Sus scrofa: one gene and its partner. The protein of the gene in region 1 purifies or fractionates together with the protein of each later gene. This does not show direct contact. Links are inferred from orthologs where the notes say so. Each region holds a gene or a part of one and is shown in the gene's direction. Other genes may lie near its edges.

Evidence for each region.
Region 2: the proteins of NEK1 (region 1) and C13H21orf2 purify together in Homo sapiens (affinity purification with mass spectrometry; 3 studies listed by BioGRID and IntAct, with this or other methods). This does not show direct contact. The link is inferred for Sus scrofa from reciprocal best matches to the Homo sapiens genes NEK1 and CFAP410.

The regions. Positions count from the first base shown.
Region 1 is NC_010456.5:20,143,237-20,146,983, forward strand, and holds the start of NEK1 (serine/threonine-protein kinase Nek1), read left to right. Parts: upstream 1-1,394; 5' UTR 1,395-1,487; exon of another isoform or gene 1,488-1,837; 5' UTR 1,838-1,955; intron 1,956-3,747. UniProt on the Homo sapiens protein: Phosphorylates serines and threonines, but also appears to possess tyrosine kinase activity. Involved in DNA damage checkpoint control and for proper DNA damage repair.
Region 2 is NC_010455.5:207,202,473-207,206,219, reverse strand, and holds the start of C13H21orf2 (protein C21orf2), read left to right. Parts: upstream 1-1,478; 5' UTR 1,479-1,581; coding exon 1,582-1,658; intron 1,659-3,008; coding exon 3,009-3,027; intron 3,028-3,747. UniProt on the Homo sapiens protein: Plays a role in cilia formation and/or maintenance. Plays a role in the regulation of cell morphology and cytoskeletal organization. Involved in DNA damage repair.

The DNA.
Region 1 (3,747 bases):
ATTCTCCAGTATCTTGGGATTACTCTAGGGAAGGCAGTTTAGCCAAAGGGCTACCCAGGGTGACACTGCGCATGATCCGTTATTACAGAAAAGACTGTCTCTATCTTTGAAAGTCTTGCAATGAAGAAAGGTAGTTAGACTACTAAATCTTTCAATACACGGGCAGAACCTATTAGATATGATAGTGTAGAAAATTATATTTATTAGTTTTTTTAAAATTTTTTCTTTTTAAATCACATTGTACTTAATTTTTTTGAGACCTAAAAATAGTTTCTTGCTTCAACCATCCAAGACAGACTAAGAATAGGCTTGCTTTTATTTTATTTTTAATTTCATTTTTTATGGCTGCACCCATGCCATGGGGAAATTCCCTGGTCATGGATCAAACCAGAGTGATAGCAGTGACCCAAGCTGCTGCAGTGACAACACTGGAACATTAACCCACTGAACCACAAGAGAACTGCTACGCTTGCTTTAAAAAACATTCTATTTATTTTTTTCATTGAGGTATAATTGATGTACAATATTATATGTTTCAGATGTACAACATAGTGATTCAAAATTTTTATGTTATACTTCATTTATAGTTATGACAAAATAATAGCTATATTCCTCTGTGCTGTACAATAGTATCTTATTTATTTTATATAGCAATTGTGTCTATACCCATACCTTTCTCATAGCCCTCCCCCTGGTGACCACTAATTTGTTCTCTACATCCATGAGTCTGTTTCCTTTTTGTTGTATTCATTAGTTTGTATTATTTTTTTTCGATTCCACATGGAAGTGATAACATACAGTACTTGTTTCTGACTTATTTCACTTCAGGCTTGCCTTTTTTTTTAAGGGCCACAGGTTCAGCAAACGTAAATTTCCAGGCTAAGGGTTGAACTGGAGCTACAGCTACTGGCCTAAACCACAGCAACCAGATCTGAGCGACTACTACAGCCTACACCACAGCTCTCCACAAAGGATCCTTAACCCACTGGGTGGGGCCAGGGATTGTACCCGCCTCCTTATAGATACTAGCCGGGTTTGTCTCTGCTGAGCCACATGGGAACTCTAAAACTTGCTTTTTAAAGCAAAACTAGTTTTCAAAACGTGGCATCCTAAAAAACATCCAAGTTAAAAAAGTCCCTTTCTCTTTGTAGTACGTGTATGCACGAGTTTATCATATGCTTTACTCCATACCACTTTCTAGCAGGTTCTGGCCCTCCTCTGTGCTGCACTCTCGCGAGGGAGCCAACCGGCTGAACCTCTCCACTCCGCTCCTCAAGCACCTGCAGTGCCCCTCCCCGCCCCGCCCAGGCCCAGTCCTACCCAGACCCCGCCCCGCCCCGCCCCGCCCCGCCCCGCCCCGCCCCACCCACGACTCGCCCATCCTTCCCGGCCACCCCCGCTCCGCGTCGGCTCCCGCGCGCTGACGTCACACGGCCGCGCCGGGGACGCCCCGCCCTCTGCACTGGCTACAGATTTTGGGGCGCCGGGTATGGAGTCCTGAGCTTGAACTGCCCAGCTCTTCTTTGCGTCGCCCGGTGTCCAGCGCCCGCGTGGCGCGGCGCGGGGGAAAAGCCGGCAGATAGCCCCCAAACCCAATGAGTCTGCTTCGTGAGGCCGCCGGCAGCCGCGTCTGAGAAGTTGGGGGGCGGCGCCCGGGGCACTCCCCCCGCCGCCGTTGCCAGGGGCTGGGAAGCCAGTTTGTGCCTCCCGGTGGCGCGGACCGGTGTCCCGGGGCGTTGGCCCGGGCGGCGCGGGCTGCAGTGGGGGACCGGCAGGATCCCACCGCCACTTCCTGACGGGGCCGGGCGCTGCGGTCACGAACTCGGTTCTTTTTCAGGATGTCCTTTTTGGACCGCGGGAGAGTGCTTCTGCCTCGCTGACCCCGCGGGAATACGGCGACACGGTCGGCGCCTATCGACCCTCACGGCCGTTGCTGCCCACGACCTGGGTCCAAGGTGAGTGGCTCTCAGGGAAGCGGCGACGTGCAGAACAGTGCAGTCATTTTGGAAACGGGGAGCCCTTGTCTAGACTTTCTGATGTGGAGGTTGCAGGGATCCTCACCTGAAGTGCACGGGAAATAGTAACCGCATCTCTTCAGTGTTAATTCTCCAGGGAACAGTGTGCGTTACTAAGCAACTCTTTGACATTATTTAAAAACTTGCAGTGATAATGGATTTAAAATAATAGAAGTGTTGTTACCGGTAAGTCATTTATATTTCTTAGAATTTCTTCATGTATAATTTCTACATGCTTAAAATTTCTGTATGTAGAGAATTAAAAGTTCTGTTAGAGTTCATCGTAACTTTTTTTTATACAGGCCTAATTTTTATTTTCTAATATAAGGTCTGTCCCCAAGAAGCGGAAGAGTTTTTATTGCCATGGTAAATTACATCAGAAATAATCATATGAAGGGTTGAAGGTAATATCCAGTATATGCTGGTAATGGCCTTTTCTTATGATGCAGCAGTATTGTAGACACCATGGAGGGATGCCAGATAAGGAGAGAATTAGTTCTTTGTTTCTGCTGTAGATTTGTCTGACATTAGAGGATCCACAGATCTGTTTTAATATTGAAAGGTAAGGAGCCTATTTTGTGGGATAACAGGTTTTTGCACATTGAGTCACCTTTAGGCGTTTACTAAAGGTTACAGAAGTTGGCCACAGGAGTTGTTTTGAGGTCATTTTAATAATAAATTAGCGTTGTATTCAAAGTTAATTTTACTCTGTCTAGTGTCCTACCTCTAACCTAAGTCATGGACATGACACCATTTCATGAATATAAACTTTACATGTTGGTATTTTCCACTAGGAAAGTTGTTAATTGTTATCTGAATTGTCTTAGAGAGAGGAATAGACCTAAAGAGAAGAAAAAACGTATTTTGAAAAAAGTGTAATAGGAATTCCATTTCTGCTTTCTGCTTTTTTGAATTATGAGAAATAAGGCAGGGACTTCCCTCATTGAGGAGATATTTTGTCCCTCTCCCACAGTCCAAAATGGCATTTATTGTTTTAGGAGAGCTATATGTGTGGATTGCAGTTGCAGACTGTACCACATGGGCTTCTGGAAATCTGTTGACATTCCTTTACCATTGTTTCCCTTCAGGACATTTTGCTTGTCTGTCAAATAACTGAAAGAGCTGAAAAGGCTTAATGTTCTACATTGGTGGGGATACAGTTTTTCATTCATATACTCTGACATTTTTCACATTTGGTGCACAGAATTTTGCCATGTCAAATGTAGTTGTGGCTTAAAGACATTCTTAGTAAAATATGAGGAAAGATGTCTAACTTGACTACAGGCTATAATATTTTTTGGAGCTCAGTTGACATACTTGAAAAGAGTGATGCCACACAGAAAGATTTTGAATGTCAGCGTTTGAAGTTTGGAAATGGAGAAACTGTTGAAGAATTTTAACCCGAGAAATTGATTTAGGCAGCATTCTTCCTATTTCTTTCTGTCAGCGTTTATTATTGCTTTTAAATTTAAATTTTAGTTATGGTTTTGAATAGTTAATACAATCAGATGGTTTGAAATTTAGAAGGTAGAAAAAGATAGAAAGGCCTTTCAACTACTCAGTTCTCTTCGCTGAAGTCAGTCAGTATTACCAGTTTGTTGTGTATCCTTTCAGATGTTACTTACACAAAAGATTGCATTTTGTGTATGTAAATGCAAGTATTTTATATATACATGCACACGTGTATAAGTAAGTGTAAATATAAATATATTCAAATGTATTTCCTTTTAAT
Region 2 (3,747 bases), on another chromosome or scaffold:
GGGGAGCTCACCCGTGGGTCTGACGTGGTGGATGGTCCCCCGGGAGGTTCTGCGCGTGCCTGCGTGGCACCATCTCCCGTGCACGCCCACGGGAGGCCACGCCTGACCTCTGCTTCTAGAGAGATCCTGAAGAGACGGGAGAGGAGGAGCAAGAGCAGCTGAGAAGCCTGCGACCAAGGAGGCATTTCAGGGTGAATGGGCCGCTGCAGCCCCAGGTCACCGCTACTCACCTGTGGTGGCAGGTGGGTGCCTCCGTGCCCATCCGGCCGTTCCCTATACTAGATTCTGAATGCTTAGCCTGCCACTGAAGACTGGGCTGCAGCTCCCACTGCTCAGGCCACCAAGTGGGTAGGAACAGCCACTGAGGGGTCTTGAGTTCTTCCACAAACTCTTAAAATAAAAATGGGTGGATGGAACGTCAACGGTTTCTAAAATGAAAAAAAAGAAAATGCAGCAGTTGTTAAACTACGGTGCGAATGCTTCTCTTTTTAGAATTCCCTGTGGTCTTCCTAAGGACAATGGCGGTGTTGGATGGGATGGGAGATCCTGCAGCAAAATCCCACTGTCCCCACTGAATCATGACCCCTCCTCACCACAGAGGTCCCTCCAACAGGGAGATCCTCCACAGCCCTGGGCTTCGGAGGTGACTCTGAGAAAGCCATCGCTGACCTCTGTGAAAGAAAACGATGATTCTGACCAGTTGGTAAAAGCGTTATTCAAAATTATTGCAGTGAGAGGAGAAAGAGAGCGCTCAACTCCAATTCAACAAAGACGGGGGATTTATGGCCAAGGCGCATGAGAGGCCAGTGGGTGGAAAGCTCCTGAGAGACGTGACGGGTAGGGGACTGAGTCACGGACTAGATTCCGCGGGAGAGGGGGGACGAAGAACGCATCAGGTGTCCGGGGTGATCGGAGATGGGCTGGGGTGACCAGCAGGATCTTTGCTGAGACCGGGCTGGGCGGGCCGAAGCCGGGACCGGGGCCGTGGGGACGAGGTCCCAGAGGAGGCCGGTCTCGGTCTCGTCCCCCCAGCAGTCTGAGATCCTGGATCCCTGTCCTAGCGCCCTCTGCAGGCAGCCCAAAGAACTTGACTTCTAAAGCATTCAAGTGCCGTGAGGGCTCCCTTCGGGCTGGCCGGTATCTTCGGCACCTGCCTCCTTCCGTAAGTGCCGAGACGAAGGGGTCAGGACAAGTCCTTTCAACTCTTTAACTCTTTGTAACCCGGGGCAGTTAAGAGCCCACCCCCTTGACGCTCGGCGAGGGCGGTGGGTCCCCAACCCCGGCGCGGAAGGATGACGTCAGAGCCTGGCCTCCCACTCTGCGCAGGCGCAAGACCGGCGGCGCGCCGCCGGGGCAGGGCGGAGCGGGCGGGGGGCGGAGCCAAAGCGCGAAGAGGAAGCCCGGGCGGCCCACTGCGCTCGCGCTGACCCGCCCCCTCGCCGGCGGCCAATGGGCTCTCTGGACCCGCCCCTGGCGACATAGGCCCCGCCCCCTGGAAACGCGCCGCGGCGGGGCCGACCACCTCGGGTTAGCGAGCGGTTCGAGAGCTCTGCCGGGGTCTGGGGTCCTGCGGCCGCCGCCATGAAGCTGACGCGGAAGATGGTCCTGTCCCGGGCCAAGGCCTCGGAGCTGCACAACGTGCGGAAGCTCAACTGCTGGTGAGGCCGGAGGCCGTCCTCCCCCCTGTCCGGCACCCTCTCCCCGGGAACCCAGCCCTAGGGCAGAGCTATCGGAAAACAGAGACCCCAGCCCAGCACCTCCGCCCTGGAGCGAGGACCCCCGCCCCGCATCTCTGCTCCGGGGCACAGCCGAGAAGGGCCTGGGAAGGATGCCGAGGATTTCAGGGACGGGGGTACCTCCGGCCTCACCTTCCTGGCCGTTGCTGGGTCCTGGGGGCTCACAGGATGTGGGAGTTGCTGCCATTGGCCCAGGCGGCCTTTGGCAAAGATCATTCCAGAACGTTCACCCCTCCTGAGTGAGTGGTGGTGTCTCATGCAAAGCTCCAAACCTGCACTCCTTGCTGGAAACAATTGGAGGGAGTTACCTGGGAGAAGCTGTTGGGCTGTAGAGAGCTGCAGTGGGGCCGACAGTTCCCTCCATGGACAGGTCTCATTTCTGACATGGGCAGCAGCCCCTGGGAGCCAGGCCTGATGAGGTGGGAGATCATGGGAATTAACACCTTTTCCAGGGGAAAGAAAGGAAACTGGGACCCCAGAGAGAAGCTTCAGCAAACATTTTTGTGATTGAGCCCTGGGGGGAGGGGCGGTCCCCACGAGACAGGAGAGATACAGGTGCTGTGGGGTCGGTGTCGGCTCAAAGGCAAGGCAGCCAGCCCTCGCAGAGCCAAGGCAGGACCCGAAGTGCTTCTGAAACTCCTGAAAGGTCTACACGTGTTCGCTGGGGATTCCGAGCACGTCTCCCAAGTCTGTACCCTGGACAGTTCAGGTGCGGCTGGGCACTCGGCCAGAGGCAGCCGCCCTCCAGCCAATGCAGCACATTGACTGCGGAGCTCTGCCTGTTCATTAAACAGCCTTTCTCTCTGCCCTGCACATCTGGCGTTTTGGCCACAACATCCCTGTGGTTTGTTTTCAATAATGCGTGGCGTTGTCGGGCTTGGCGAGGTCATCCTTCCAGAAGCTGCGAGGAACAACGGCCCTATTTCAGGCTGAGTGCGTTCACGAGTCGCGTGTTTGGGCCCAGAAGTGGCCTCTTACAAAGAGGCCCTTGTTTATCTCCCTCGGGGCAGCTGCCTTGAGAACCAGTAAGTCTTCGTGTCCTTCAGATGGGGTGGCCTCCGCCGTTTCTTCATCCGAGAAGGAGCCCTTCAGGATCAAATCATTTTGTCCACAGTCAACCAGGACTCGCTTTTGGCGCCTTTGTCAGTTATCCGAGAAAGCCTTCTTTTACTTTGTCATTGAAATCCCAGACTCTTACCGTTTATCATTAGTTTTTGGAATTTGTCTGCAACCTGAACAAAGTGAGAGTGTGTCTGTCTTTTCTTTCCCCAGGGGCAGCCGTCTCACGGATGTACGTATCACGCACACCATCTCCAGGTGGTCCCCGGCCCCCGAGAGGACTGTTCAGTTGACAGAACTGCACCCACTCAGTCCAGGCCCCGGTCTGGTACTTTGTGGGTTCAGCGGTTTTTGTAAAGCAGAACCACTCATGAAAAAAACAGTTCTAAAAAGGTCTGTGGCACCGGGGCTTATTGTGGAGTTCCAGCATTCTCCTGCGGGTGAGCGGACCGCCTCACAGAGGAGGGAGCAGGCCCCGGATGAGACCTCGGTTTACTGCTCCCTCAGCTGGGAGGAGTACAGCTGTTACAGGTTCCAGGACTTCCTGTCCCCAGGAGCTTCCTCACTTCAGCTCTGCCCCAGTCAGATCCAGCCTCACCGTCCCACCCACCCCCTTGGCAGGAAGAGCTGGGGCCTGGGGGCGGCAGAGCACCTGCTGAGCTGAGCCGAGGGTCTGTGAATAGATTTCTCCCCACCCCCACTCCTGGGATCACTGTCCCCACCCTGCCGTCTGCATGCCAACCCATGGGTCCTCGTTGACTTCTGTTTGGGGACTTGAGCGGTACCGTTCCTGAAAAACAAAGCTAGAAATGCTGAGCTGCTGGGCTGCCCAGAAAAGCTGATTCTGCCTCCCTCTCTAGCTGAAATGCTGCACTTAGCAGCAAAAACAAACCAACCCAAACAAATCTTGCGAACATGAAGCAATCTGACCAGACAAGGAGTTTGTTGGTCC